Linked DNA regions of Struthio camelus. The protein of the gene in region 1 purifies or fractionates together with the protein of each later gene. This does not show direct contact. Links are inferred from orthologs where the notes say so. Each region holds a gene or a part of one and is shown on either strand. Other genes may lie near its edges.

Region 1 (7,968 bases):
AAGCACTTTTAGATAGGATTTGAGAGAGAATAACTCAATTTTCTGTTTGGAATTTTTTCTGAGTGGTTTGCTCCAGATTCTGGTATCCCCAGGGACCGCTTTGCAGGGTACAACCAGCAGATACCATCAAGTGCAGCAGAAGCACAGCTTAGCTGCAGCTTTATACTAACCTACACACAACTTGGCAGTGGTTCATGCACAAGTGGTGGTATACAAATCCTTCCTGCAAACTCCTCCAGAATAGACAGGAATGAATTTGAGACAGCTGTAGGCCTATGTTCTTTGGGATCAAAGCAAAATGTCCTTTTCGGCTATATCAATATGAAGTGCGGCTATATCAATATGAAGTGTGCAACACACTGGCCATATAAATTTTTGCTGTGTCAATCAAGAAAAGTTGCTTTCAGCAAACCCATACCATCAGGGTTTCCAACTGCCAAGGTTTACACCAGCTGATAAGAAATGACAAAAGATTTAAGTTCTAGTGGTAGGAAAATTAGTGCCCTACACCGCATACTGTGCAAGGCAAATATTTGTTACTCTTGTGCTTTCTTCCTCTTCTTTTTGCCTCAAAATAGGGGAAACGGCTGCACTCACAGTGATATTGCTGGTGTCAGTAAGAAACAAACCCAATGCTCCTCCTAAGCTTTCTCCTCCGTTATAGCGCACACTACTCTGCCTCTCTACCTTTGCCTGTAAACAACAAAAAGCAAGAGAGTCACAGCACAGACGGATTGATTCAAAGTACACCCTTAAAACCCCTACATATTACTTACTCCATCTCATAGACAGTAACCGGTAACGTCTGTTCCATCAAAGAAAATTTTTTAGTTTTCACGGGTTTAATAATAGGCTCTGAAAACAAGAGAAAGTACAACAAAAATTGTTATGAATGACCCTGAACAACAGTGTTCTCAGAAATGCTAATACTAAACGGGGATTTTTGAAGATAGAAACACAATTTTCAAGCTGAGAGATTCTTTTATCTTTTTATGGGAGAAACAAATGAGATGACTTAAACATATTTTCACATCTCTTTAAATAACCTTCTAGTGTCTGCCAATGTCTGCTCTTCAAAAGATAGTTTGTTTGGCATTTGCAGTAATCCAGAGTGCCAAAATCTGGACACTGCTAGACAAACAGGAAGAGTCTATGCATTTTAGAGGCTGTGAGGGTTTTTAAGAGGGATGTTAAAAGTCATGGGGAATGGGGAGAATGGAAGGGAGTAATATGTTCCCTTTTCCAAAGATCTGCTAAGAGACTTCTCCTCGCTCCACACCCAACTCACTGCTTTACACCACTTACCAGTGAGAGGCTGCGTATCTTCCTCTTGTACTATTGTTTCTACTTCAGGCCCATAGACCTCCTCAGCAGTGGGATAGTACTTCTTATCCTCATGCAGCACCACCTCCATCCCAGGGTGGTCCTCGTCATGGTCTCCCATATCATCATCCTCATCATCATCCTCGAGCTGCAACCAACACTCACGTTTAGCTGCTGCCATCCCCCAGGGCATCAAACTGCTTTATAACCCTCAGTCTCCCCAGAAAGTCTTATAGGCCTTGGCATCATACAATAAAAAAAAGCCATAAGCCCACATACAGCCAAAGAGCCACCGATGATGACAACCCCGGCATATTGCAACCAACTGCAGCGCGATTTGCAGAAAAGATCTCCATAAGCAAGATGAATCTTCCCACCGCGGCACCATTCCTAAAAGCCACAGGCCACCTTTAAAACTACAGCATTTGCAGTGATGCCTGCACGGAGAGCAGCTCTTGTCCTTCATTCACAAACACAACAGACACCACTTTTTAGCTGTAGGAAGACTAGACTGGGAGGGGCTTCCTAGCTCCTCCAAACCTTTCACTGACATGGCACAGCAGAACGCCCCCTTCTGCTGTCCTTATAAACACTGCCCATATCTCTGCTCTGGTGTCCACAGTGTCTTACACTGTGCCCATCACTGGGGAATTGAGCTCCTTACAATACTGCCATAGCATTAGTGTATATTAAGAAAGGACTAAGAGGCAGCCTAAGGACCTTACTGAAAGGATCTGGATCTTCTGATTGAGTACAAAGTCAAATATGGCTTGAACTACCTAAGATTGTAACAGAGACTCAAGCAGAAACGGTATTTCTTTCTCTTTAACACACTAACAGGAATGCAGCTTTTGCTGGATTTTTTTTTTTTTAAATCAACTCTGTTACTATCATTAGGAATAAAATAGGATCAGAGTCCATCACCGAAGAAAGTTTTTTGCAGAACCAGGGCCTGGCAGGGAAAAGGAATTGCTGGCAGCTTGTGATGACCATGGGTTTGGCTGGGGGCTCAGTGCCTGCTCCGTGCGGCCCTTTTTGCACCCAGCATGAACAAGGCGAGTAATGGGCAGGACAGCGTGCATGCAAAGCTCCCCCCAGACTCCAAAGCTCAACCCATCCCCATCCCTCACCTCGTCCAGATCCTTGGACTCTCTGCCCAGCTCATCATCGTCATCATCAGAGTCCAGCTCCGGCCCGATGTAGTTCCCAAACTCGTCGTACAGGTCGGTGTCCATGCTGCAGGGTGGAGGGACAGGGACGCGGATCAGCGGGTGGGTGGTGATACTGCTGCGTGCACTGCCCTGCACTGACCCCATCCCCGGGACTGCCCCACACCGGGACCCCCGGCCCGCTATGGCCTGCACTGATGCCATCCCGGTTCTGCCCTGCATTAGGACCCCCGGCCTGTTACGGCCTGCACTGCCCCCCGTATCGGTTCTGCCCTGCACCGGGGCTCCTCGCCCGGTGCGGCCTGCCCCGCCCCGGATCCCCCCATCCTGCTCCGTGCCCCGGAGCCCGGCGAGGCCCGTGTCGCTCCCGGCCCTGCCCCGGGGCCGCCGGGCCGCCCGGCCCCGCTCACCCGCCGCGCGCTGCCCTCGCCGCCGGCGCCGCGCGCCACCAGGCCGCAAGGACCCCAGGCTGCCCGCGCCGCCTGACGGGACAGGCCCGCCGGCAGGGCCGCGGGGCCGAGGCGGGCGGTGCCGCGGGGGTCCTGGCGGGGTCTCGGCAGCCCCGGGCCGGGCCGGGCCGCCCGGCGCGGCGGGGCGGGCCGTTTCTGTCAGGCGCCGTCCGGGGCAGCCCCGAGTCGGGGCCTCGCCGCGCTGCCCTGTCGCCATGGCGACGCTAGGGGCGCCCGCGCGCCCGGTGGGGAGCCCGGTCCGTCGCGACAGTCGCGATAGGAGCGGGTGTGCCTGACGCCGGCGGTGCGCTCAGCCTGGTGGAGCTGTCGCGGTACGAGTGGGTATCCCTGAGGCTGGCCGCGTGCTCGTCTTGGTGGGGCTGTCGCGATAGCAGCAGGTGTCCCTGACGTCGGGGGTGCGCTCAGCCTAGTGGGGCTGTCGCGATATTAGCAGGAGTCCCTGCGGCCAGCAGTGTGCTCAGCCCGGCAGGGCTGGCGTGGCAGAAGCAGTCGTCCCCACAGTGGGCTGTGGGCTCAAACCAGCCCATCGTGCTTGTCACGATATGAGCGGTTGTCCCTGTGTCCCCTCAGCCCTCAGCCTCCTTCCTGGCGGGTGATTCCTCCCTCTCGGGGCCCCACCATCCCGCCCGCTGGCTGGACCCCTTCCCTGCACCCGTGTCGGGTGCCGCTTAGGCCCTGCCGCGGGTGCTGGCCCCCTGCCCAGGGGGCTGCTCCACCACCATCGCCTCGGCAGCCTGGGCCCACGCTCTCCGTTGCTCCTAGGTGCACAATGGAGGCAGACGGCGCGATCGACTTCAGCGCTCTGGAGAAAGAGCTGCGAGCAGCCGTGGCTGCCGACGAGAAGTATGAGAGGGAAAACAGCGCCAAGTTCCGGGCCGTGCACCAGAAAGTGGCATCTTACGAGGAGTTCAGGTCTGCCGAAAGCTGTCCTCGCAGTACAGAAGTCCTTCTTCAAGGGAAGTTTTGTTTTATTTCATGTCCTGCAGAGATCTGTTAACTTCCTCTGCTGTATTCCCTCGAGTTTAGAGGGATTAGGATTGAGCGGGTCAGTGTCACTTTTCTAACTCGCCAGTGCCCAGTGCTTGGCTCTCGATATTCCTGACACAGAGCCAGCACAACCCCATGAGTGATGGTGATTAATTCTGAGACCTCTTAGAGACAGGCCTAAGCTCACTATACACTAATGTGGTCACCCAACTGTTTTTGTCCTGACCTCCTTCCTCCCCTCAGGCTCTCTCAGCCCCACGCAGTGATGGCAGTACAGAGGGACAAGGTGATACATGGTCCCCAGCACCCCACTCAGGGTATTCTTGCTCCCAAAGTCATCATCACGCAGCCAGAGCTCTGAGCAGGGTTGAAACATGGTCCTGGGATGGCAGGCAAGCTCCTTGGAGGCAGGCAGCACAGAATGCTCCAATTGCCACCCCAACTGTAGCTGATCCCCACTGAGTTCTCGCCCACTGATATCCACAGCCAGATCTGTAGATGGATCCAGGAACTTGAGCACCCTTGATAGACTGATCCATGACTAGAGCAAATTGCATTCATGGTCTCACCTCCACATGCATTCAGTCATGCTATCAGATCTGTGAAAGGGAAGGAAAATTTTGAAATGGTATTTTCTCTTCTGTCTTCTGGTCCCTATAAAAGGGTTCCTGTGAACATGTTTCTATGCTGCAGAGTTCTATCAGTGTAGTATTCGTTGGTTAAAGTATAGGGAAAAAAAACCCTGCATTCCTACTCTGTCCACAAAATCTGCAATGCAGCTGTATTATTAAAGATAGAAGTAATCTGAGGGAGGTAACAGAACAGCTTCTATCTGTGGGTGCTGTGCCTTTACTAGAGAGGCTCACTAGCATAGTAGCAGGGACTGCTCAAAAGATCTCCTCCAGCTAATTATTGTGAGGCCTAACTAGAGACAGAGGTTCATCCCATGAAACAAAAGGAACCACATGAGGCATTGAGTCCGGGCTGGTGTGGTCATAGACATCAGTGTAATAAGACACTGAATTCAAATGAATCCACAAAAACATAACCAGTCCAGCACTCTGCAAACTACAAAACAATCCCTAGGCGCTGTAGAAAATTAGGACCTTTCCCGTGAAAGCCTAAAAGTGACAAAATCTTCAGTGTACCGTAAGAAAAGGGCAGGACAAAAGTGTCCTGCCATTTCTTTGGGCCCTGGCTCTGGCAAGGTAAAAATGTCAGAAATGCCCAGCTCCTGTTCCCCATGCTGGGGAGGTACCATCGTAGTGCTCTAGAGCAGTCCAGCCTCTGGGGAAATTCCTGCTTAGTTGATCCTGATGATTAGGTTAATACTGAGTATGTGAGCAAGATGTACCTGCCAGGTGCCCCATGCGATATCCTCTCTCTTCCTCTGATCCATCAATGATGCTTCATGATCTGATTTGAATCCAGATCTTGTTTGATATGTATCATGCCACAAACTCAGAAATTGCCAGCCTCACAGCAGGCACTGCAGAAGAGACTCAAAGCCTGGAAGCATTTGATCTTGCTAAATATCCCATTCCTCTTCTGTTGCCTGCAGGGATATCGTGCTGGCATCACACTTGAAGCCTCTAGAGAAAAAGGACAAAATGGGTAAGCAAAGAAACCTGCTGTGGAATCCTTGTGCAACCCACACTAAAGGAGAGCAAGTCAGCAACGTGGAAATAGCCCAGGTGAAGGAGACATTTTCTGGGACTTTGTCCACATCTAAAAATTACTCCGGAATAATGTGGGGTATTATTTTAAAGTGCAAGAGTTATTCAAAAATATTTCTACCTGGGAACAAGCCCTCAAAATCCCCAGAAATACTGGAATTAGATAACTTCAGGGTTCAGTCTTGGCCCCTATTTTGTGTCTGACAAGGACTTGCACCAGCTGCTTCAAGAAGAGGCTATTTCAACTGTTTGGCAATCTAGGACCAGCTGTACAGTGTCAGAGGAGAGCTCCCAATATCCCACCTCTGATACTGGCCAGTAACAGATTCTTGGGGAAGAGTGCCCTCCCTTGTCCATACTCTTCCAGCTGGCTGCAGTTTAGAGACTGAGAGCCAGTCTGTGCATGAGGATTGTCACATTTAATAGCCACAGATGATATATCTTCTGTGATATGGCCTGTCCCTTTTCACCTCACAGTGTAATTATGCATGCTGTGAAAAAGTACTATTTTGTTTGTTTTAAACCTACTTCCTGATGAGTTCCTGGGATGCTCCTTAGTTCTTCAGTTGTGGGAAATAGTAAATAAACATTTCCTGTCCCGGTCATTTGTGATTTAACTGACACCTGTCCTACCCCCTTCAGTGGACTCTGTCCAAGCTGAAAAGTCCTGGTCAGTTTAATGCTTTCTGATATAGAAAGCATTTTGTACCTCCAACCACCCTTGTTGCCCTTCTCTTTGCCAGTGCTAGCTTATTTTTGTGCAAAAGGGTAGGCAAACTGCAGGCAGTATTCAAGGTATGGGTACCCTGTGGATTTATACAATCACAAAGCAATCATTCTGTTTTATTTTCAGTTGCTTTCCTACTAACTCCCCACACTGGCTTTGCCAGTTTGACTGCTGCTGAGCATAAGCTGATGTTTTCAGAAGACTATCCATGATGACTTTTACTGGCCCAGTGACACAGTGACAGGGATAATTTCTTGCAGGATGGGAGCTGCAATAGAGTCTATCCCTGAACATGTAGCTAGAGATATTTCCCGTGGATGCTTCTCACAAGCATCTCATGAATTTTTTGACAGTGAATCTCATTTGCCTGTTATTATGAGATCCTTCTGCAACTCTTCCAGGCAGCTTTAGATTTGGCTGCACTGAACAGTGATCCTCCTAGAGGAAATTCTGTTCCTAATCTCATTAGTGCTTGGGCTCTGATCTCCAGGGCATCTACATTTTGTATTTAAACACAGCCTGTTATTGCTGTGGCTTGTTTTCACTAGCTGTATAAAAGCCTAAACATTTTAATCCTACTTCAATCTGCGCTTGAGTTAAGTTGGCAGTGATGAGTTCAGCAATCTGATTACATGTTGGATAAAAAAGACTTCCTTTTATCTGGAGATGCCACATTGAGCATGTCTCTTTCTTTTAGTCCAAGCACATTACCACAGGCCCGTAGGAATGCAGTATGTAAGGAAAGGGCGTGCTAGGGGCATCAGAACAGTTTCTGGGTTTTACATCCCATATCTTTTATCTCCTCGTCCCTTTGATTTGCTTCATGGTGCTTGAGATGGAGCAGAGGTTTTCACTAAGTACCACAATCTCCAGCAGATCCCTTCCTGAGCAGTGACAGTGGATCCAGGCTCAGCAGTTCATCTGAGTAGTTCTGACTAGGTTTAGGGTTACTCCACTACTTATCTTCCACACTTTGTTTCATGTCTCACCCATTCTTCTGTTCTTTCCCTCTGAAGTTCTCTGGTTTCCTCTGGGCTTGTCTAACCTGATATTTGTTTATCTTCCTGCATACTTTGCCACCTCAGTAGCTTTATGCACCTCTTTATGCTATTAAAGTCTGTATTAAAAGTGTCTGTCAGACACCCATGGATTGGTAAGGGGGGATAAAAATTTTCAAGTGGGAACAAAACAGTTTTTTCCTGCAGGAACTAGATCAACTGCCTGGAACCTCTGCTGAATTTTACAGAGATTGGCGCAGATGCTTAACAAGCGGAAAAGAAAAATACCAGCTTTTGCTTAAACTTGAAGGCAAGGCCTTGGGCAGAATCTTTCAGGCTGACCTGGGGTTTGGCCTCCTGGGTGAATTCCTTACTGTGCTGGCAGAGAACATCTGTCATGAAGACGGAGATGCCATCCTGCAGATCTTACAAAGCCTTTCCAACACCAAGCGCTTTGGGTTGAATGTGGATCTTCTCAGTGAGTCAGAGAAGGAGAGCAGCAGAGATTTGTTTAGGAAGCTGCAGAGCATGAACAGAAATTACTGGACCACTGGCCGTCTCAGTGGCACAGCTGACTGCAAAGCAGAGAGAGAAGCCCACCTCACGAGCACCAGTTTG
Region 2 (7,549 bases), on another chromosome or scaffold:
CCCTCCTCCGCTCACAGGAGTCCCTGTGGCTTTGGCTCATTTATTTTTCCTACCTCCTGTGTTTCTGGTTTGGGGGCCTCTGCTGCCCCCTCCTCTGTGTTCTCCTCCAGAGTCTTCCCCGAAAACTTCTTCAGCCAGTCGTCATCCGACCAGACTGCGACAGCAAAAGGAAGGGTCAGAGCATGGGAACCGAACCCAACGGCCACGTGTGAGCATGCATGCAGCTGCGTGGGGTCAGAGCACAGCACGGCCCAGGCAGCGGGATCGCACGCGGGAGCGCTCGGCTGGCAGCAGCCTACCCCAAAAGACAAAGCATGCAGCCACCCACGCCACCCAGGTCAACAGGGAAATAACAGTCAGAGAACATGAAGGCAGCTGGAAGCACAGCAAAGTGTGTTTTCATCAAGGAATCGGGTATTTTTGGTTATTAGGATGCTGGTGAGACCCCCAAATGGGAGGCAGAGCAATACAAGCTGAGGTCTCTGCCCCAGGATCTGGGAAAGCAGAAAGAAAGGCCGATTTTGGAGCAAGCGCGAGGTGCTGACAGTTGTTCACTGGGCTGTGCTCCTCTCGCAAGCACCGACTCACCAGGCCTTGATGATCCTTCTTTAATCCGCATTGGTTTGGCCAGGTTCACACGGATTGTCCTGCCGAAGAGCTCAGATTCATTCTGTAGAGGAAAAAACAAAACAAAGCCCACCAAAAGGTAAAATATCGCTATTCCCTCCAAATCCCTGCAGAGGTCAAAGAAACACAGAACTTCCTTTCTCCCCCTCCTCCTGATTTTGGACTGAGGGCCCCAGACCTTGCAACCAGACCACAGGCAACGGCGAACATGCAAACAAAGCGGGCAAGGACCTGGTCCACAGCAGCGCTCAAGCCCCGGCGCTCGCCCCCCGGGGCCACACCTGAAGCAGCGCCCGCCCTGTTTTTGCAGACAGCTTCATCGACGTTATACACAGCCAGAGCTGCCGCTAAACTTTGCTGGGGTTATCGCCAGCTCGTGTCCGTTCCCAACACTGGCTGCCCAGGACAGCTCGGTTCTGGGGCTGTTATTGTGCTCTCCTTCCCCTCCTGCGAATGGTGCGGTATCAGGCATGCGGAGGAAGGAGATGAGCTGACAGGTATTTCTGAAACAATCTGCCTTGCTCCTACTGGGAAGAGGGCGAAGCCCCACGCTGTGAGGAGAGGAGCAGCGATTTCACTTTCCAAGACAGCATTCAGCATGCAGATGGGAACAGAGCCCATACCATGTTGTCAATAGCTGCTGCAGCATCCTGGGGAAAGAGGGAAAGATCATTATTGCCATTTTTTCTCTTCTTTTCATGTAAGATCCTTGATTGTTTACACTAATATTTGGGAAAGGAGACGAGAGATCTTGCCTAATGAAGCCCACGATAGGTCATGACATCCCATGCTCCAACCAAGCTGAGAAACCCACCCACTGCTGCTGAAGACAAAATGAGCTCTAGGGAAAGCAAGCGGGTGTTTTGGACCAGGAGTGGCCATGCTTCAGCCCAAAAGACAATGGGAAAACTGGGAACTCGGAAAGACAAAACAGCAACTCGACTGCAGCTACTGGAGAATGGCCCATAGCTAGGACAGGCAACCTGTGCCTGCTCAAATCAGCTGCAAAACTCCTGCTGTCTTCAACCAGAGGAGGATCTGGTCTAAAATGCCACGGAAGGAAGAAGAGATTCCAGACTGCTCAAGTATTTGCCCCTTCCTCACCTCTGCCAGCTCAAATTCAATGAAGGCAAATCCTCGGTGCTTTTCTGCGGAGAGAAAAACGAGCAGTCAAAGGGAGCAGGGATAAGGAGGTGTGCCCTGGGATGAAGTAGCGAGCCCCAGAGTGACATGAGGAGACCCAGAACTAGGTAGCCAGCCCTAGGCCCGGGCCATGAGCCCTGGGACCAGGTGGCCAGTCCCAGGATGAAGCGGTGAGCCCCAGGACAAGGTGAGGAGCCCTAGAACGAGGCCGTGAGCCCCAGAATGAGTAGTCAGTCCCAGAATGAAGTGGTGAGCCCTGAGATGAAGTGAGGAGTCCCAGGATGAGGCAGACAGGCCTGGGATCAAGCAGTGAGTCCCAGGACCAGCCAGACAGTCCAGGATGAAATCAGGAGCCCCAGGACAAAATTAGGAGCCCTGGGATGAAGCCACAAGCCCCAGGGCCAGGTCATGAGCCCTGGGATGAAGGACTGAGCCCCAGGACCAAGTAGTCAGTCCCTGGACAAAGTGGTGAGCCCCAGGATGAGGTGGGGAGCCCTAGGACAATGCTGCAAGCCTCAGGATGAGGCCACCAGCCCCAGGACCAGGCTGTGAGTCCCAGGACAAAGGAGTGAGCCACAGGACCAAGCAGCCCATCCCAAGATGGCAGGGGAAGTGGTGAGCCCTGGGATAAGATGAGGAGCCCCAGGAGGAGGCAGGCAGGCCTGGGACCAGGCTATGAGCTGCAGGACCAAAGACAACCAACCCTGGGATGAAACTAGGCGCCATGGGATTAGGGCCGTGAGCCCAGGATGAGGTGAGGAGTCCTGGGATGAAGAACTGAGCCCAAGGATCGGGTGGCCAGTCCCAGGCTGAAGTGCTGAGCCCTGGGACGAAACCACAAGCCCCAGGGCCAGCCCACGAGCCCCAGGACGAGGCGAGGAGCCCTTGGAAGAAGCTGCTGCCCCCAGGCTGAAGCAGGGAGCCCCGGCGAGCCCCCTCCCCGCCGCCCCCCCGCCCTGGACCACGCACCGGTCTCGTAGTCCAGCGGGATCTGGATGTCGGTGATGTCTCCGAAGGGGATGAAGGCGGCGTGAAGCACCTTCTCGTCCACCTCCTCGGCCAGCCCGCCTGCGGGGCGCACAGCGCGTTACCGCCCGCCGCCCCGACCCCGACCGCGCAGCGCCCGCCGGCCCCCGGCCCCGCCGCTCACCCACGTACAGCACCCGCTTGGTGGTGGCCATCTTCCCTCCCCGGCAGCCTCCGCCCGGCCCCTGCCCCGGAACCGCACGGCGGCTCCGCCCCGCCCCGCTGCCGCCGCCGCCGTCGGGGCCCGGCCCGGCCCGGCGCGCCCGGGGCTCCCCGCGGGCAGCGCCTCCGACGTGGAAGGTCCGGTGTTGTGTGTCACACTACCTGATTTCCAAGGGGGATACTTGCATGTTTTACTACCCTCTCCTGCTCTTAAATAAAAATAAAAATACCCCCCCCCCCACAGGACAGGCAGGCAAAACAACATTACAATGCACATGAGAGGTCTTTCTGCTTTTCGAGGACCTTCTCAGGCACAAGTTTCTAGTTTTGCAAGTCCAAATTAAGCCTCAGTTCCACTAGGGAGCAGCCATTCTCCTTTTACAGGGTAACCAAATGCTTTTCATCCCAAAGGATCACCCAAAATGGTTTACAAAGCATTTACTAACCTCACCACCAGAATACAGCCACCTTGTAGAGTATAAAAAAGCCAGATTGTTCTGTAATGACAGAACCACTAAGGAAAACATCCAGCTGAAAGAAGGAAGAATATATGCGAAGAGCAGGAAAGAATTTCTTCTCCCACAGGCAACAAAAAGCGATCCAAACCTCTTTCATGCTCCACTTGAAAAATGCCTCCCACTGCCTTCTATTAGGTCACCACTTGGTTATATTCACCATTTGGACACTAACCAAACCCAACATAATCATCCTGTGGCAGAACTTTAGCACAGTTGCTCCAAAACTGTGATTGTCCAAAGTTAACAAGCAGAATAACTCAATTCAATCACGATTTAACATATCAATCATGTGACAACTGCCTGCCAGTTCAATTTGATAAGTTAATGTGATGCAGCTTACTACATTCTAGAAAAAAGACAACAAATGTAGTGAAAGTTTTTATTCCTTTATTGATAAACGCTTTCCAGACTTTCCAAACTGGATTGTTCAGTTAAAACCAAAACCACAAAAAACTTTCAATCAGAAATCCTCGATGTCCTGCCTAGAAAAGACAAAGGGTAACTGTCCTGACCACAAAGGAAAAGCTTGCAAACTTAATTCTGGTTTTGGAAATCTAGAGCTTCATGGAGCTGGCTTTTTAAATAAGATTGTAAAGATTAATTTACAAAATGCAATATAACTAACTATGTGATATGATGCATGGCACTGAGATTTGCAGGACAGTGAAGAATCTTCAAACATCTTGAGCTGATGTCTAGGAAGGGACTATTTGGCTTCTTTGCATCCTGTAAAAAAAGAGGAAGACAAGTTATCTGCATATGGCATAGTTCACACCAGGCTAGTGAACTATCCAGCGTTATAAACCATAAGGACTCCAGTATAACTTGCAACGAACAGAGAAGTTGTCTTCCTCTTGCGGATAATATCCATTGCTGATGATTTGGTAAGAAATTCACATCTTTCGTGGAGAAGCCAATCACTGGATCCACTCAGAAATTCACTAATGAAATATAAGAACCCTCATCATTCTTTACCATTTGGAGTTGTGACATCTTCCTGTGACATCTGACCAGAACAACTTCACAAAAAGTGCAAGACGTTCATGGTTAAGTCCAGACAAACCCACATGGAGGAATTCATCAACAAAAGCAAAAAGAACCTTCAAAGAATCAAAAATCTTATCCAGAAGTCAAATGAGAGCCAGGACCAAACACAGACAGTGCTTGCTTGGATAAACCTACACAATGAAATGACATTCCTGACACCAGGACTTTAATATATACTGTAGGCAGATGATTGTCAGGATAAGGAACTGGCATTAGCAGTCTATTTAGCCTTGAAGTCACTGGAACATCTTGTGCATCTTTTACCTTTTTTATTTCCTAGATTAGCAGCTTCAGAAGCCTCATCTCAATATATTATCCTTCCTTGACATGCTCCTAGTAGTTGACACTTCAGGAACCTATGCAACATCTTTCTGATACTTAAATACAGTGAGATCTTTGAAGCATACCTCTACAGCTTCTACCGTAACGATTCTCTATTGGAGAAAATGCATCAGTCTTTCAGTCAGTGCTGCACCTGGACCTACACACAGGTTTCCAGACAGGCTGCACACACTGACAATAACGCTTTATGTACTCTGATTTGGGAAACTTTTATCGGAAGCTGAGGACCGGGACACTCACCAGTCTTCCTGGTTTAAGAGGTAGCAGCAACCACGCCCACCTTCTGGGCAGCTTCTTTCTTGGCTTGATGAGCCTGCAACACTGCAACAGCCTCCTCCACCTTGGGTGGACAAGTTATCAAAGTGAGACCTGTTCTCTTCACTAAGGTGCCCCAATCCACGCCCCCTCTGAAGGAACAGGCCAATTTACCTTTGACCGAAGGGATTCTGGAGACTCTAGCATGTGCAGCAGCTCCGAGTTGTCAATCTCTAGCAGCATTCCTGTGATCTTCCCCGCAAGGCTGGGGTGCATAGCTTGAATCAGAGGGAACAAACGCTCGCCTAAAAACAAAACCAACCAAACAAAACAGTTCAGACAGGCTGGCTTCCATCAAACAGTTCTCTGAAACCTGATGGGATTTCCAAAATAAGATGTGATCTGTAAAAAAACAGGAGATTCACTTACCCAGCATCTGTTTCTGCTCCTGGGGAGGTGCAGCAGCCAGCATGGAGGCCGTTAGTGGTTCCTGTCCCTGCACATGTACTGCAGGCTGAGGTGCCTATAGAATGGCAAAGATGAGGATTCAAAAACAGATGCCAGACTGATTGTTTCATATTTAAAGACAAGGCAGTTCTTCCTTCCTCTAAAACATGGCACTCTGTCAGGCCTGCAGTAGAGTCAGTTTCAGAAAAGGACAGATAAGGTGCCCTGTGTTCACAAACACGCTCCAAGTCCTATTCTCAAAAACTAGAATGTCACACAGGGGCACGTAGCTTGCAAATATCCTAGTTATAAAAACTGGACCTTGCATTATAAGGCAAATGTCATGGCAGAGAAAGAGAAACACCCATGTTTGCTTTTTGCACAATGCAGCGGTGTATAGAGAGGCAAGCTGTGCTTTCAGTGATACCCTAGCGAGAATTCAGCAAAGAGATGAGAGAGAGTGAAAGCTAGCAAAAGTGTGAGAGCAAAGAGCCAAGAATAGCAGCCTTACAGCAAATCTGGATAAAAAGGGCTTAGAAGAGTAAGACAGACAAATCAACCAAGTTGCCCCTGGCGGAGGTATGTGACGACAACTGCCAGTTTTCTAAATTCCAGTTTCTGATCCCTGTCGGGACTATAAAAAAGTAGCTTGAAGTTTCTGTAAAAACACTTCAGCTGCGTGTAAAACCTGTTGGACTGTCGTTAACTAGACAGACTTGACAGAGCAGACCACTGCATTACCTGCAAAGACTGTACAGCCGGATGTGGGCTGCGAACACTCGAGGCGTATTTATAAGGAGGAACTGCTCGGGGAGCAGGGGCAGCTACTGGCGGACGAGGAGCTAAATTCTGCGCTGCAGCGGCAACACCTGAAAAGGAAGAGTAGGACAGAATTACACAGCCACAGTAACACGCAGCAAGCAAATTGGGATGTCTGATATTAACTGCTGGACTTTAATTATGCACTGCACAGCCTAATACTGGTTTAGAAACTGGCCTCCAAAATCCAATTGGCTTCTTTAGAAAGGAGCTACCCTCCCTAACACTAAGCCATAGATTCTATATCTGCTTTTAAGACATTTTCTACTTATTCCCTGAAATAAAGTGAATTTGGATGCTTTACTCTGAAACCACCACCCATAATCTACAGAGCCATTTTTGAGCAGTAAGTGTTGCAGAGTTGTAGAGATGAGTTCCAGGTGAAAGGAAAGCAACCCATCTGGATTTCCACTGCTTTGCTGTAGCACCAATTGTCCCCAGACCTGCACTGCACAGCAAGGAACAGGAAAGATTCAGGTGCCGTCTTTGCCCCTTGCTCCAGGCAGCCTTCCGTTATCCACGTCTGATGTAAAAGTCAAGTCTTAATACCATCCCCCTTCCCCATGAATGAGGGGAAGAGCCTGGGAGGCAGACACCTTACCAACTCGCTGGGCAGCGGCAGGGAGGCCACGAGAGGCTGGAGCATTGCCGGCAGGGGCCAGATGGCGCAGTGCTGGCCGTGGTCCAGACTGGCGCATGGCATTTGGCATTCCCTGGAAGCCTAATGGAAGAAAGGAGGGGAAATCCTCAAAACAGAACTGACTGGCAATCACGACAGTCAGCTACAAGCAGCAGGTTGGGGCTCTGCATGGCAGGGAAACTATGCATTGCTCTTGTTGGAAAATACAGCCAAAAGGGTCATACAACCAAAGCACTGTGTCTAGCATGCTCACCTTGAGGTCTCCCCCCTTGCTGCCAGCGTGGGTTAGGTCTCATCTGCGTCATTTGATTGGGTGCATAGTAAGTGGGTCTGCTCTGAGCCTGAAGAGAGATGAGACAAGCTCAGAAGGAACATGAAGTGAATAACAAACATCGTTTGCAACATGCTTTGGCAGTTGTTCCCAGGATTCAACACTCAATTCTCATAAGAGAGAAGGCAGATCAGAAGCCACACAATTAACTCCACTGACTCTGCACCTCTCATTAGGAGCTGTTTGCTTAGT
Region 3 (6,914 bases), on another chromosome or scaffold:
ATGGGGAGCCAAGGCCACTTCTGCCATCCTATGGGGAGGAGTCCCTACAGGGCTACCCCATGGGGAGCCAGAACCACCTCATGGGGAGGAGACCCTGCAGGGCCACCACATGGGGACTGAGGGCCACCTCTGCCACCCCATGGGGAGCCAAGGCCACCCTGACCACCCCATGGGGAGGAGACCCTGCAGGGCCACCCCATGAGGACCCAGGGCCACCTCTGACATCCCATGGGGAGCCAAGGCCACCCTAGCCACCCCATGGGGAGGAGACCCTGCAGGGCCACCCCATGAGGACCCAGGGCCACCTCTGCCACCCCATGGGGAGCCAAGGCCACCCTGACCATCCCATGGGGATGAGACCCTGCAGGGCCACCCCATGAGGACCCAGGGCCACCTGTGACATCCCCTGGGGAGCCAGGGCCACCCTGACCACCCCATGGGGAGGAGACCCTGCAGGGCCACCACATGGGGACTGAGGGCCACCTCTGCCACTCCATGGGGAGCCAGGGCCACCCTGACCACCCCATGGGGAGGAGACCCTGCAGGGCCACCCCATGAGGACCCAGGGCCACCTCTGCCACCCCATGGGGAGCCAAGGCCACCCTGACCATCCCATGGGGATGAGACCCCTCAGGGCCACCCCATGAGGACCCAGGGCCACCTGTGACATCCCCTGGGGAGCCAGGGCCACCCTGACCACCCCATGGGGAGGAGACCCTGCAGGGCCACCCCATGAGGAGCCAGGGCCACCTCTGCCACTCCATGGGGAGCCAGGGCCACCCTGACCACCCCATGGGGAGGAGACCCTGCAGGGCCACCCCATGAGGACCCAGGGCCACCTCTGCCACCCCATGGGGAGCCAGGGCCACCCTGACCACCCCATGGGGAGGAGACCCTGCAGGGCCACCCCATGAGGACCCAGGGCCACCTCTGCCACCCCACGGGGAGCCAGGGCCACCCTGACCATCCCATGGGGATGAGATCCTGCAGGGCCACCCCATGGGTACCCAGAGCCACCCCACAGTGCCACCAAGCCACCCCCTACCCCATCCCTCCCTCCCTGCTCCTCACCCGTGAGGTTGTGGGCGAAGGGGCCGGGAGGAGCGCGGTAGAGGAAGCCGCGGCGGGCCCAGGAGTCCGGGGGCAGGGGCCGGCAGCGGGGGGCGCGCACCACGATGGCCACGGCAGCGCCCAGCATGCCCAGCCAACCCAGCCAGAAGAGCAGCAGCAGGGCGGCCCGGGCTCGTGCCCACCCCGCCGCCCCGGCCACCCGCACCAGCTCCTCCTTGCCCAGCCCCGTGAACTTGGCGCCCGTGCCGCCGCCGCCGCCTTCCTCGCCCTCCTCTTCCTCATCCTCCTCCTCGCCGGGCGCCGCCCCGCCAGCGGATTTCGGGGGCGCCGCTTTCACCAGCCCATTTTTCTCTTCGACGCCACCGGCCATCGGCTGCTTCTCGGCGTCCAGTGTCGTCAGCTCCACGTCGCGCAGCGCCGCCGCCTCCGGCTCCATGGCCTGCGGGTGAGGTGGACGCCCCCGCGTTGAGTCTCCTGGGCACCCCGAGATCCCTCCCAAGCACCTCGAGATCCCCCCAAACCCATCTGAGCACCCTCAAATCCCCTTCTCTGGGAGGAAAATGCTCCCAAACATCTCCAGATCCTCCTAAGCACCCACCAAATGCTCCTCCAAGGATACCGAGATCCTCCTGGGCACCCCGAGATCCCCCTGGACCCACCTCAGCATATCCAAATGCCCATCCAAAGACCCTAAGATCCTCCTGGGCACCCCGAGATCCCCCCAAACCCATCTGAGCACCCTCAAATCCCCTTCTCTGGGAGGAAGATACTCCCAAACACCTCCAGATCCTCCTAAGCACCCACCAAATGCTCCTCCAAGGATGCTGAGATCCTCCTGGGCACCCCGAGATCCCCCTGGACCCACCTGAGCACACCCAAATGCCCATCCAAGGACCCTAAGATCATCAAGGACCCTGGGCACCCCAAGATCCCTCCCAAGCACCCTGGGATCCCCCCGAACCCACCTGAGCACCCCCAAATCCCCTTCTCTAGGGGAGAGATATTCCCAAACATCTCCAGATCCACCTAAGCACCCCCAAATGCCTCTCCATGGACCCTGAGAGCCTCCTGGGCACCCCGAGATCCCCCCAAAGCCACCCAAGCACCCCCAAATGCCTCTCCAAGGACCCCGAGACCCTTCTGAGCACCTTGAGATCCCCCCAGAGCCATCTGAGCAGCCTCAAATTCCCCCCAAGCACCCTGAGGTACTCCTGGGCACCTCAAGATCCCCCTGGACCCACTTGAGCACCCCCAAATCCCTCCCCAACCATCTCCAAACCCACTTGAACACCCCTAAGTCTCCCTCCTGGCCACTCTGAGATATCACCCAGGCCTCCCCCAGACCCACCTGAGCACCCCCAAATCCCCTCAGGCACCCAGGACTCACCTGGGCACCCCCCAGTGCCCTAAGAGCCTCTGGAGCACCCCGAGATCCCCCTGAGCACCCCAAGATCATCTCTAGGTACCCCCAGACTCCACCCCAAACACCCTGAGATCCCCCTAGGTGCACCCAGACCTTGCAGGGTCCCACTGTGCACCCCAATATCCCTGCAGGCACCTAGAGAACCCCCCACCGGGCACCCCAATATCCCCATGGGCACCCCCCAGACCAGGCAGGGCCCCACTGTGTGCCCCAAGACCCTCCCGGGCACCCCCAGAGCGTGCAGAGCCCCACTCTGCACCCCAATATGCCCCCCAGCACCCCGATATCAGGCACCCCCAATAATTTGGGGTCCCCCCCCAATCATCCATAGCTAAATCCAGGGTCCCCGGACTCCTGGGTCCCCACGTCAGGCAGGGTACCGCGCCCTTTTCCCCTAAAAACAGGCATCTCCCCTCAAAATAGTGGGGCCCCCCCCAAAATAGTGGGGAACCCTCCGAAAAGCAGGAATCGCCCTCAAAAAGCGAGCCACCCCTCCCCCTCCCCGTACTTGCGTCATCCTTACTGTCACCTATGGGACGGGCAGCGGCGGCGCTGGCTCTATATAGAGCGCCCGTGCCCCGCCCCTCGCCCCGCCCCTCCGCCCCTCGCCCCGCCCCCTCCGCGGCCTAGCTCCGCCCCCGCGGCCGCAACGCGCCAGGATCAAAGTGCAGGAAGTGGGGGAGGGGAGGGGGCGCCGAGACAATGCCCCATTGTTCCCCGCCGGGTGGGGGGGAAGGGGCGGCGCCGCCCTTCCCCCACCCCGGCCCCCCCACCCCAAACCTCGAGGGGGCCCCAAAACGCAGCGCGTTCCCCCACCCCGGGGTCTGGGTCCCCCCCACCCCCAAACCTTGGGGGTGGTGGGACATGGCCCCTCCCCCCGGGCGCCATTTCGGGGTGCCCCCAGGGGGCCGCCATCTTGGCTTGCCTTTGCAGCAGCCATTTTGGGGACACCCCCCCCACCTTGGCCACCATTTGGGGGGGCCCCCAACTTGGAGACCATTTTGGGGTCCCCCCTTCCCCTCCCCGGAGGCCGTTTCTGGGGCCCCCGCCGCCCCCCACGGAGACGCCATTGTGGTGTTTTCCGCACACACACGGAGCCGCCATTTTGGTGGCCCCCTCAGGAGGCCGCCATTTTGGTGACGCCCTGGAGGTCGCCATTTTGGTGACACCGCCCCCCACCCCCGCCTCCACGTGTCCTGCCGGTTCCTGCCCGGACGCCTGGGTCCCTGGGGGTGGGGGGGCACCGGACTCTGCCCCCTTCTCCCCCCCCAACTTCCGCTGCGTCCCCACGGCAACGCGGCGCGGCCCCGCCCACCAGAGGAAGTGACGCCTTGAGGGGGCGGGGAAGACACCGCGGCTTCCGCCGGAAGCGGCGCGGCGACCCCGGAAGCGGCCGCCGGCGGGAGCGGCGCGGCCATGGGCTCCTCCAAGAAGCACCGCGAGCGCGGCGGGGCCGAGGCCGGCACCGAGGAGGCCCCGGCGGCGGCGGCGGCCCCGGCAGCAGCAGCAGCAGCGGCGGCAGCAGCAGTGGCGGCGGCGGGGGGAAGCGGCGGCGGTAGCGGCGGCAGCAGCAGCGCGGCGGGGCGGCCCCGCGAGCACCGCAAGCACCGGCACCGCGGCGGCGAGCGGCGCGGCAAGCGCAGCCGCTCCCGGGGCGAGCGCGGCGGCGGCGGCAGCGGCGGCAGCGGCTCGTCGCGACGCGGCGGCACCGAGGAGTCCGGGCGCGGCGGCGGTGGCAGCAGCCATGGCCGAGGCGGAGCCGAGCCCGACGCGGGGCGACGGGGCAAGAGGGAGCGGCGGGAGGAGCGGGACGAGCCCGGTGAGAGGGCCGGGGGGTCCCCGGGGGGCGTCTGGGGGCGGCTAGGGGGCTTGGGGGGGCGTCTGGGGGCGGCTAGGGGGCTTGGGGGGGCGTCTGGGGGCGGCTAGGGGGCTTGGGGGGGCGTCTGGGGGCGGCTAGGGGGCTTGGGGGGCGTCTGGGGAGGGTGTTTGGGGGAGGGCGTTTGGGGGCGGCTGGGGGGCTGGGGAGGGCGTTTGGGGGCGGTTGAGGTGCTTGGGGGGTGTTTGGGGGTGGCTAGGGGTGGTTGAGGGTTTGGGATGGGGGGGGTCTGTGGGGACCTTTAGGGGAGGTTAGGGGGCTTGGAGGGGTCTGGGGGCCTCTGGGGGTGGTTATGGGGCCTGGGTGGGGGTAATTAGGGGGTCTTTGGGAGTGGTTAGGGGGCTTTGAGGAGTACTGGGGGAGGTCCTTGGGGGAAGCTATGGGGCTTTGGGGAGATCTAGGCGTCTCTGAGGGTGATTGGGGGCCTTGAGGGTCCTTGGGGGTGCTGGGGGGTCTTCAGGGGGTGCTGGGAGGGGTCCTTGGGGGGGTCATTATAGGGCTTTGTAGAGATCTGGGGGTCCTTGGGGGTGGTGATGGGGCTTCGGGAGGTTCTCGGGGGTGGTTGTGGGGCTCTGAGGACGGTTATGGAGCCTTGGGGTGGTTGTGGGGCTTGGGGAGGGGGGGTTACGGGGTACTGATCCCCCTCGTTAGCTAACGACCCCCCTTGCCCCCGCCAGCCACCGCCTCTAAGGCCGCCGCGGGCGAGTCGTCGCTCAGCGTCGAGGAGACCAAGTGAGCCAGAGCCCCGCGGGGCCCCCGATACCCCCAATACCCCTCTGATGCCCCCAGTTACTTTTTGTAACTCTTAGTTGCCCCAATATTGCTCTGATACCACCCGATTATTTCTTGTAATGCCCGGTTACGCTAGTTTTTCTCTAATACTCTCAGATTATTTCCTGCAACTCTTGGGTCCGCCGGTGCTGTTCTGATATCTGTCATTTATCGTAGCCGACTCGTAGTTATACCGACGCTTTTCTGATACTTTTTCTTACACTCTCGTTACTCTGGCAAACTCCCGACACCCCAATTACCTCCTGTAACCCCTCGCGTTGCCCCCGTTACTCCTGGTCGCTCTCCGATACCCCAAACAACCCCCCAGTTCTCCTGATAAGTTCTTGGTGCTGCCCAGATTTTCACCACTGTTGTTCTGGTGCAGTTCTAAGTATTTCTAGCGTATAGTTCTTTTTTTGGCTACTTTTAATACTCAGTAGTTACTTGTTTAAGTTCTAGTGGCTGTTATTACCCTGATATACCCCCAAATCCCCCCGCTTACTCCTCAGTTGCCCCAGTACTTTTCTGATGCTCTGCAGTGCTCCCCCAATGCCGTTTAAAACTGTGCTCGTAACCCCAAAACCGCACTGTTTTGCTCTGATATTCATTCGATGTTTTCCAAGGTTTGGTGAAGTTCCTCAAATGTTTGCAGAAACCTTGAATGTTCTGTGAAAAGTCCCCATAAGGCCCCAAAATGTTCCCAGTTACTGCCAGCACTGCTCTGCGCTGCCCAGTTACCCCCAGTATCACCCCAGCATTCCCCCGTTACCCCAAATATCGTTAATACTCTGCAATTACTGCTGAATGCTTTTTAATTTTCCTTAAATCACTTCAAATGCGTTTGCTTACCATGATATTTATTAATTTTTTTCTAATGCCTGCGCTGCCCCCACCCCAGGGTGCCCCCCACCCCTGTTTGCTCCCACACATTCATTTCCACCACCCCCGTCCCCATATTTGCCCCCCAGGCCTCAATTTACCCCCATATTTGCCCCCTTTTCTCACCCCTTTGTTTTTCCCCGTTTCCAGCAAACTCCGCGCCAAGCTGGGGCTGAAGCCGCTGGAGGTGTCCGCTGTGAAAAAAGGTGAGGAGAAAGTGCCCCCCTCGCCCCACTTTGGAGGGGTTCCCTGTGTTCTTGGCCCCCCCCCAACGCCCCCTTTTTCCCCGTTTTTCCCCCCAGAAGCCGGCACCAAGGAGGACCCGGTGGCGGCCGACGTCATCAACCCGCTGGTGCAGCGGCAGCGGGAGGAGATCCGCGAGAAGCTGGCGGCCGCCAAGGAGAAGCGGCTCCTCAACCAAAAACTGGGGTGAGCCTCCCCCCACCAACCTGCCTCTGCCCCGGCAGCACCCACACGGGTGGGGGCGGCCCCAAGAACCCCTTTTTTTCCCCCGGAACAAGGAAAGTGAAGACGCTGGGCGAAGACGACCCGTGGCTGGACGACGCGGCCGCCTGGATCGAGCGGAGCCGCAAGCTGCAGCAGGAGAAGGAGCTGGCGGAGAAGAGGGTGAGCTCTGGGAAGGGGACCCAGGCGTCCGGGGGTGCCCTGCCCCTGTGCCGGGAGGGGACCCAGGCATCCGGGTGGGTGAATAACCCTCCCTGCCCCCACCATGGGGTTAATTCGGGGCGAAACGGCGCCGTTTCAGGCCAAGCTGCTGGAGGAGATGGATCAAGAGTTTGGTGTCAGCACGTTGGTGGAGGAAGAGTTCATGAGAAGGAAGCGGGTGAGCTCGGGACCCCCTTGGGGACGTCAGGACCCCCTTGGGGACACCCC
Region 4 (8,008 bases), on another chromosome or scaffold:
GATGGCTCTGTGCTTTTTAGGCAAGACAGGCCAGGAAGGCGAGGTGGTGGAGTTGCCCTTTATGTGAGGGAGCAACTAGAATGTATGGCGCTCTGCCTGGGGTGGGGTGGGGTGGGGTGGGGTGGATGAAGAGCAAGTTGCGAGCCTATGGGTAAGGCTTAAAGGGCAGGCTAACGTGGGTGACACGGTGGTGGTGGGGGGTTTACTGCAGGCCACCCGATCAGGAAGAGGCAGTCGAGGAGGCCTTCTACAGACAGCTGGAAGTAGCCTCACGCTCACAGGCCCTGGTTCTCATGGGGGACTTCAAGCACCCTGACATCTGCTGGGAAGAGAGCCCAGCTAGACACAAAGAGTCGAGGAGGTTCCTGCGGAGCATTGAGGAGAACTTCTTGACCCAGGGGGTGGCGACGCCAACAAGGAGAGGTGTGCTGCTGCACCTGGTTCTAACAAACCAAGAAGGTCTGGTTGGAGATGTGCAGGTTGGGGGCAGCCTTGGCTGCAGTGACCGTGCGATGGTAGCGTTCAGTATCCTAGGAGGAGGAAGCAGGGCAATAAGTAGGACGGCAACGCTGGACTTGAGGAGAGCTAACGTTGGCCTCTTCAGGGACCTACCTAGGGGACTGTCATGGGGTAGGGCCCTAGAAGGAAGGGGCGTGGTGGTGGTGGGGGGTGAGTCCAGGAGAGCTGGTTAACATTCAAGTATCACTTCCAGCAGGCTCAAGACGGGTGCATCCCGCTGAGTAAGAAGTCGAGCAAAGTGGGCCGGAGAGCTGCGTGGCTGAGCAAGGAACTGCGGGCAAAAGTCACACAGAAAGAAGGAAGTCTAGAGAATGTGGCAAAGGGGACAGGCCACTTGGGAGGAACGTAGGGGCGTTGTCAGCGTGTGCAGGGATGCGACAAGGAAGGCTAAGGCCCCTTTGGAATTAAATCTGGCAAGGGATGTCAAGGAGACGAAGAAGGGGTTCTTCAACTACCTCGCTGGCAAAAGGAAGCCTAGGGAAAAAGTGGGCCCGCCGCTGAATGGGGCGGGGGCCCTGGTAACGAAGGCGCTAGAGAAGGCAGAGTTGCTGAATGCCGCCTTTGCTGCTAAGGCCAGCCCTGGGGAATTCCAGAGCCTGGGGACAAGAGAGAACGTCTGGAGAAAGGAAGACTCTCCCTTGGTGCAGGAGGATGGGGTTAGAGCTCGCTTGTGCAAACCTGACAGCCACAAACCCATGGGCCCCACTGGGATGCACCCCGCCCCCCCCCCCCAACACACACACCCCCGAGTGCTGCGGGAGCTGGCGGATGTTATTGCTAGGCCGCTCTCCATCATCGTGGCAAGGTCCTGGAGAACAGGAGCGGTGCCTGAGGCCTGGAAGAAAGCCAGCGTCACGCCAGTCTTCCCAAAGGGCAAGAAGGAGGAGGCAGGAACCGCCAGGCCTGTCAGCCTCACCTGCATCGCTGGAAAGGTGATGGAACAACTCCTGCTGGAGGTCCTTGCCAAGCACGAGGAGGACAAGAAGGTGAGCAGGAGTAGTGAGCATGGCTTCAGCAAAGGGAAGTGATGCTTGAGCAATGTGCTAGCCTTCTGTGTTGGAAGGACTGGCTGGGTAGGTGAGGGCAGAGCAGTGGCTGTTGTCTCCCTGGACTTCAGCGAGGCTTTGGACGCTGCCTGCCATCACATCCTCCCAGGTGAACTGAGGAAGTGTGGCTGAGATGAGTGTGCAGTGAGGTGGATGGAGAACTGGCTGGCTGGCAGAGCTCGGAGGGTGGTGGTGAGTGGCGCAGAGTCTAGTTGGAGGCCTGTAGCTGGCAGTGTGCCGCAGGGGTCAGTGCTGGCTCCAGTCTTGTTCAATGTCTTCCTCGAGGAGCTGGAGGAAGGCACAGAGTGCCCCCTCAGCAAGTTTGCTGATGCTCCAAAGGTGAGCAGAGTGGCTGACACACCAGGAGGCTGCGCTGCCATGCCGAGGCACCTGGGCAGGCTGGCGAGCTGGGCGGAGAGGAACCTGCTGCAGTTCAACAAAGGCAAGGGTAAGGTGCTGCACCTAGGGAGGAAGACACCCCTACACACACACAAGCAGCAGGACAGGCTTGGGGGAGGGAGGGAGGGAGAGAGAGTAGGGGGCTGACCTGCTGGAAAGCAGCTCTGCAGAGAAGGAGCTGGGAGTGCTGGAGGACAACAAGTGAAGCATGAGGCAGCAATGTGGCCTTGTGGGGTGTGGCATCCTGGGGTGCCTGAGGAAGAGTGTTGCCAGCAGGTGGAGGGCAGTGCTTCTCCCCGTCTCCTCAGCCCTGGTGTGGCCACATGTGGAGTAGTGGCTCCAATTCTGGGCTCCCCAGTACGAGAGAGAGAGAGAGAGAGACATGACACTACTGGAGCGAGTTCAGTGGAGGGCTACAAAGAGGATGGGGGGAGAGGGGGACTGGAGCATCTCTCCTCTGCAGAAAGGCTGCGAGAGCTGGGCCTGATGAGCCTGGAGAAGAGACGACTGAGCGGCGATCTCATCAACGTGTCCAAGTATCTGGAGGGAGGCTGTCGCGAGGATGGGGGGCCAGGCTCGTCTCCGTGGTGGCCAGTGACAGGACAAGAGGCAACGGGCAGAAACTGGAAGCCAGGAAGTTCCATCTGGACCTGAGGACAAACTTCTTTCCGGAGAGGGTGACTGAGCACTGGACCAGGTTGCCCAGAGAGGTAGTGGAGTCTCCTTCGCTGGAGCTATTCAAAACCCACCTGGAGGCGATCCTGGGAAATAGCCTGTAGAGGACCCTGCTTGAGCAGGGGGATTGGACTAGATGAGCTGCAGAGGGCCCTTCCAACCTCAACCATTCTGTGATTCCGTGATTCTGGAGGCACAATCTCTCCTTCTGGCAGACAGCACAGGAATGTTCAGTGGTAGGCAATCCATATTGCAAAGGAAAGTGATCCAAGCAGTTTTACTTCCCCTGTGCTGGCTCTGGCACAGACTGGATGAAATGCACGCAGAGAGCCCCTTTTCGCATTGGAACTCTTAGAAAAGAGCTATGCATTTTAAAAGCCTCATTAGCACTGTGAGAGCACAGTAGAATTACCTGAAGTGAACACGTAAGACCAGGAAGTTTGCCCTTACAGCTCCAGTCCTGAGCATCAACTAAGATCTTTCAGTTTGACTCCATGCTGGACCACCCTGTACCGCTTTACAGATGAAACCCAAATCCCAATCTGTTTCTTGGAAAACATGAAAGAATTACACGAACAAATTCTCTGAGGAGGGAAGACAGTGTCCCATCACAAAAAGCCAGTCCCTCTGTTGGTGCCGTATTCTCCTCTGCTACTCACCTTTCTCTGGGTGCTAGCCTCTGAGTGCTGCCATCTCTTTGCAACTTCTAGGACCTTTTCCTTCCTCATGTTCTTTTTTTGCAATTCAGCAGCAGCCCCTGCCAGAAGTTTTTTCTTCTCTTCCTCTAGTTGTTTTGAGTTCAGACTCATGGGGCAAACCTTAGCTTCGCTTTTCTGATTGAGATCATTCAAGATCCGCCAACACCCAAACAGAACATGCTGGTGACTTGATGTCAGCCTTCCCAGGGCACAGCCAACATCAATAATGCAATGGTATAAAAGCAGCTTGTGGCTCTCTTTTAATTGGGGTAATAACAAGAGAAGGCATGCCACAGCAGGATCTAGACTGTACATAGACAGCAGCAAGTTCACTATTCTGTAGTTTACAGTGAGATAGCAATGCAAAGGTATCCCAGGTCCTAATGTGTAATAACAGAGCACAGAATGGTGAGGAGTAGCAAAAGGTCCTCCCTGGGGAAGGATCACCTTACAGAACTAGAGAGGAGCAATCCAAACAATATAACCTTGAAAGGAAGGAAACACCTCCCAGGCAGAGATAGCAAGAACCACTCTGGAGCTCAGTGGCTGCTCTTGGTTCATTTGGGAGCCCTAAGGTGAGGAGAAGGACCAACAGGACACCTACTCCTTCTATAAGCTAGATAGGGAAGTACATGCTCCCTTCCTACTATCACACCCACCCACCAGATGATAAAAATAGATCTTTGGAAGCCAAAACAGTAACAGTCCTTCAGTGGCAAAGCCCTCAGCCAGCTCAGTTAGCAGGACACCCATCTGCTGGGCTAGGCTTCTAGTATCAGGGGATTGGTGTACCTAAGAAACAAGGAAGAGGGCATGGGAAGAAGGCAATGAGAGGAAAGGGGGAAAATTAACTCAAAGCAAAATATGGGTAACCAAGACTGGCTTAATGGAGGCTAACATATAAAGATGCATCTACTGATCTTGGAAGTCTTGGCTTCCGAGTATTTAGTATGAGACTTTCAGGATTCAATTCTCAGAGGTGTTGAATGCCAACTCCTCCAACTGCAGTTGCACAGGTAGGGAAAGAGATACTGAAAGTGGAGGATTGGGTGCTGCTGAGTCCCAACGACAGCTCTGTCACTGCCTCCAATGTGAATAAATCGTCATTTTCAGCAGTGCCAGCCAGCAGTTCCCACTAACGTTTCCGGGAACAGCTGGGTGTGCAGCACTGCGGGAAAAGGAGAATGAGGTAAGAATTTCTCAGGGGGAAGGTCATTCACCATAGCCTCGAAGGCACAGACCCAACTCCTTCTTTTGCAATCTCAGGCTGCCCACTTAAGCTCTCTGCACTTCCTTTACTGGAATAATTAACAGGATTCTGCCCAAAGATGTGAAAACCGCGCCTTGGCCCCAGCACACTGAGCAGTCCAACCACGCAGCGCATGCAGCTCTAGTGCTTTCCGGCATAGCTTGCTGTACCAGTCACACACCTCTCTGCAGCCTGACTTTACGTCTGGCCTCACCCACCGGTGGCGCAAGGCCCGGCGGGAGTTGTAGTCCCTCGGCCGGTAGACCCCACTTCCAGGCGCCGCGCGCTCTTCCATGAGCGAACTACACCGCCCAGCGCACCGCGCCAACGCCCCACTATCCGCGCCATGCCTGCTGGGAGCGACCAGTGCGCGCCGAGGCACGGACGGCTTCCCGGCCTGCCGCGGGCCTCGCGGTGCGTTGTGGGACTTGTAGTCGAGCTGTCGCCCCCCTCCCATTCCGTCACGCCGGTACTGCGGCAGCAGGGGGAGGGGGCGCGGAAAGACTCCATTTCCCGGCAGGCAGCGCGCGGAGCGGGCCCGAGGTGCTCGGCAGCAGCTGGAGGAGAAGCCGGTCGGTGAGGAGATGGCGGTCGATAAGGATGTGTTGCAGCTGGACCTGTACGGCCTGCTGGGAGTCGGGGAGAAGGCGTCGGAGAAGGAGGTCAGGACCGGGGCTTCCGTGGTGCGGGACCCCTCTGCTCGGCGGCTTCAGCTTTTCTGCTTTTCACGCAGTAACGGAAGTTCCCGCCGCTTCATAAGGGGAGGAGAAGGCTGGGCTTTGGGGTTGTGTGCTTGCGCTGCTCCCTGCATCGTCAGTGCAGCGATGATCCCGAGCGCCGTTTTAACGCGGTGTTGCTGCTATGGGCGCTGCTGCGTTTGTAGTTGGCGTGGTGCTGCGTTGTCGCCCGTTAGCTGCTGGCTGCTGCACTTGTTAACAGGACAAAGAACTCCTTTTTTTTAATGTTGGCCTGGCTGTGCTCAACTGACGCTTCTGTTTTCTGGTCTTAAGTCTGTGGAGGGAGACTTGGTTTTGGAAGAGGATGAAATCAGTTGAAATGAGTTGCAAACTTCCAGTTAGCCTCAGCCAATATTTATTCTATGTTGTTTGTTTATGTGCCTTCAGAAGGAAGGCTCCTCTCTGGTGTTTACAAAAGAAAAAAAAACTCAGTTATTAGAGATCGTTTTTAGCTACTGTAGGTCCTCATCAGATATCTTACTAATTTTGTGCTCTTTTAAAAATTACAAGTTCCTATTTTTTCTCTAATTAAAGAGCTAAGTCAATGCTATAAATACCTGAAGGGCCTACACGATTAAATGGGGAAACTGGCTGACCTATTCAAGGGCAGTAAGACTTGCTAAGTAAAACTATTACTACCTGAACAAAGTTTAACTTAAAAGAAAAACTTTATTTTCCCCTGTTAAGTTCCCTCTCTCTTTCTCTCTTTTTTTTTTTTTTTTAAGCAGTAAAGAGCATTAGAAGAACAGTTGAGTAAAACTTGGAAGTCTGGGTCTGTCCAGCAATTGTATCAGAGGCTGCCTGGAAATTCCAGGTACCATAAGCATGAAATCGGGAAATAAGCCAAATATAAAACACAGGATTGAGTGAGATGAAAGACTTCAGTTGACCTCAGCTTTGCTGCTGAGCTGCTCAATGAGGGAGGAAAAAAAAAAGTTACAATTTGAGTGTTACAGTACAACTTAAAAATTGACAAGTGTAATTTGGAGTTCTACTCCTTGGTATAAAATACTTGAAACAACTCAGAGAACTATGTTCAGAGAAGCATCCCCAAAAGAGCTGAACAAAGGGGAGCAAAGCTTACTTAATCTTTGCCTAAAGAAATCTAACTTCTCTGTTTAGAGAAGCCTTAGCTAAACTTACTGTATAGAACAGTTATTCAGATAGTTGTGAATGATGCATATGAGAAGACTTCCCTCTCTTTGCTGAAGTCTTACCTGTGGAGGATATAGAATTAGGCCTATGATGTTTCAGCTACACATTTACCTTCCCTTAGTGTTGTCCACCAGGTGGTGCCCAGCCACCACTTATTTCTTTCAGTCGAATTAAGGCTGCTTGGCAGTTGAACAGAGCAGCTTTTTTTGCATGCATATGTTCCCCCTGATAAAGAGAACTCAAATTGTTAAAAGCCTCTGTAGTGACTTAGCCCATAAAGTTGTCAATTTAACTTTGAAGTGTAGAAGAGATTAAGTAGTCTTTGGTCAAAATTTCTTCACCTGCCAAACTCAATTTTTGTGCAGTGAATTGCACATACTCTGTCCCAAATAGCTATAGCTGCTAAGAACACTGTATGCCTCTGACTGGGTAGAAAACTCTGCCTCAGTGTATTAGATTTGGTCTTGATGATCATGACTGCTGTGGCACAATGCACCTAAAAGTAAAACTTCTGACCTTAAAAAGTTTAAATTGATTGAAAATGTAGCTGTCTCTCTACTAAATGTCCTGGACTCAAATGGTTATCCTTTCAGTACTGTGTGATAAAAAGGGCAGGTCACTGCACTGAAGTTGAAAATTGAGTTTCAGTATTCTCTTGCTATTACAGTAGGCGCCTTCATTTTTTGTGTTTGAGGGACTAATGGCACTCCAAAAATGGTTTTTATTTTCTATCAGGCCCGGGAGACTTCTAGCCATGCAAATGAATGTTGGCTCAACTACAGTCTTCTGCTTATGATAGAGAGGTATGTTTTAAATTGAGCAAAAGCAAACAAACAAAACCTCTGAGTAGGATTTTTTTTTTATGTTTCTGTGGTGCATTTTTCCAAGTTGTGTTTCTCAGAGCAGACCAAACAGTACCAACTGACAAATCTCTGTTCTGGCTCTTACAGGTTAAGAAAGCATACCGCCAGAAGGCCCTGACTTGTCACCCAGATAAGAACCCGGACAATCCCAAAGCAGGTAAGACTGGAACATATGAACACAAACCAGTGTTCTTGTCTGATCCACATGTGCAGATTCCTGGAAGTGGCTCTATTTAACCTCAGGTCTGTCTTTGCATGCAGTTAAGGGAATACCTGATTTTGTGTCATGTGATGTATACACATGCAGGATTAAGAGTTATATTTCTTGCTCGTTTCCTCTGGGTTTTAAGATTAAATGCATGCATGTTGGCTTTCAAAAGCGTAAGTGTTAAGTGAATGCTGAAATTTTATTTGCACTTCTCAAAATCCTTCCATCTGGTACTTGAATCCTGGACCTTTGGCCATATTGTCACTGATGTTAGCTGGCTAGTCATTCTTCTGAGAATCGAAACTTTAATAGCAAGCTTATAAATCATTGTTATATATGGGCAATGCCCATTATTGTCTGTTAGAGAGTAGGCCCTGACTCTGTGCAGCTGAGTACACCTCAACTGTTAGCAAGGTCTGTGGATTCTACAGCTTCTCCATTTGTTTTGCAACTACCGGC

Evidence for each region.
Region 2: the proteins of EFTUD2 (region 1) and PPIE purify together in Homo sapiens (affinity purification with mass spectrometry; 3 studies listed by BioGRID and IntAct, with this or other methods). This does not show direct contact. The link is inferred for Struthio camelus from reciprocal best matches to the Homo sapiens genes EFTUD2 and PPIE.
Region 3: the proteins of EFTUD2 (region 1) and SART1 purify together in Homo sapiens (affinity purification with mass spectrometry; 4 studies listed by BioGRID and IntAct, with this or other methods). This does not show direct contact. The link is inferred for Struthio camelus from reciprocal best matches to the Homo sapiens genes EFTUD2 and SART1.
Region 4: the proteins of EFTUD2 (region 1) and DNAJC17 purify together in Homo sapiens (affinity purification with mass spectrometry; 4 studies listed by BioGRID and IntAct, with this or other methods). This does not show direct contact. The link is inferred for Struthio camelus from reciprocal best matches to the Homo sapiens genes EFTUD2 and DNAJC17.

The regions. Positions count from the first base shown.
Region 1 is NC_090966.1:726,351-734,318, reverse strand, and holds the start of EFTUD2 (116 kDa U5 small nuclear ribonucleoprotein component), read right to left. Parts: upstream 3,010-7,968; 5' UTR 2,903-3,009; exon of another isoform or gene 2,831-2,902; intron 2,560-2,830; 5' UTR 2,559-2,559; coding exon 2,454-2,558; intron 1,472-2,453; coding exon 1,306-1,471; intron 856-1,305; coding exon 777-855; intron 1-776. Other genes in the region: CCDC103 (coiled-coil domain-containing protein 103), read left to right, coding at 3,732-3,874, 5,511-5,643, 7,558-7,968. UniProt on the Homo sapiens protein: Required for pre-mRNA splicing as component of the spliceosome, including pre-catalytic, catalytic and post-catalytic spliceosomal complexes. Component of the U5 snRNP and the U4/U6-U5 tri-snRNP complex, a building block of the spliceosome.
Region 2 is NC_090964.1:8,126,541-8,134,089, reverse strand, and holds the start of PPIE (peptidyl-prolyl cis-trans isomerase E), read right to left. Parts: upstream 3,015-7,549; 5' UTR 2,952-3,014; coding exon 2,921-2,951; intron 2,839-2,920; coding exon 2,740-2,838; intron 1,776-2,739; coding exon 1,732-1,775; intron 1,278-1,731; coding exon 1,251-1,277; exon of another isoform or gene 948-1,250; coding exon of another isoform or gene 909-947; intron 671-908; coding exon 589-670; intron 155-588; coding exon 54-154; intron 1-53. Other genes in the region: PABPC4 (polyadenylate-binding protein 4), read right to left, coding at 5,119-5,205, 5,295-5,425, 5,550-5,643, 6,309-6,436, 6,988-7,107, 7,280-7,367. UniProt on the Homo sapiens protein: Involved in pre-mRNA splicing as component of the spliceosome. Combines RNA-binding and PPIase activities.
Region 3 is NC_090976.1:737,768-744,681, forward strand, and holds the start of SART1 (U4/U6.U5 tri-snRNP-associated protein 1), read left to right. Parts: upstream 1-3,910; coding exon 3,911-4,313; intron 4,314-5,047; coding exon 5,048-5,102; intron 5,103-6,170; coding exon 6,171-6,226; intron 6,227-6,322; coding exon 6,323-6,449; intron 6,450-6,541; coding exon 6,542-6,647; intron 6,648-6,786; coding exon 6,787-6,864; intron 6,865-6,914. Other genes in the region: amino acid transporter heavy chain SLC3A2, read right to left, coding at 1,072-1,510, 3,003-3,011. UniProt on the Homo sapiens protein: Plays a role in mRNA splicing as a component of the U4/U6-U5 tri-snRNP, one of the building blocks of the spliceosome. May also bind to DNA.
Region 4 is NC_090946.1:4,485,352-4,493,359, forward strand, and holds the start of DNAJC17 (dnaJ homolog subfamily C member 17), read left to right. Parts: upstream 1-5,004; 5' UTR 5,005-5,170; coding exon 5,171-5,248; intron 5,249-6,048; exon of another isoform or gene 6,049-6,137; intron 6,138-7,213; exon of another isoform or gene 7,214-7,242; coding exon of another isoform or gene 7,243-7,281; intron 7,282-7,428; coding exon 7,429-7,498; intron 7,499-8,008. UniProt on the Homo sapiens protein: May negatively affect PAX8-induced thyroglobulin/TG transcription.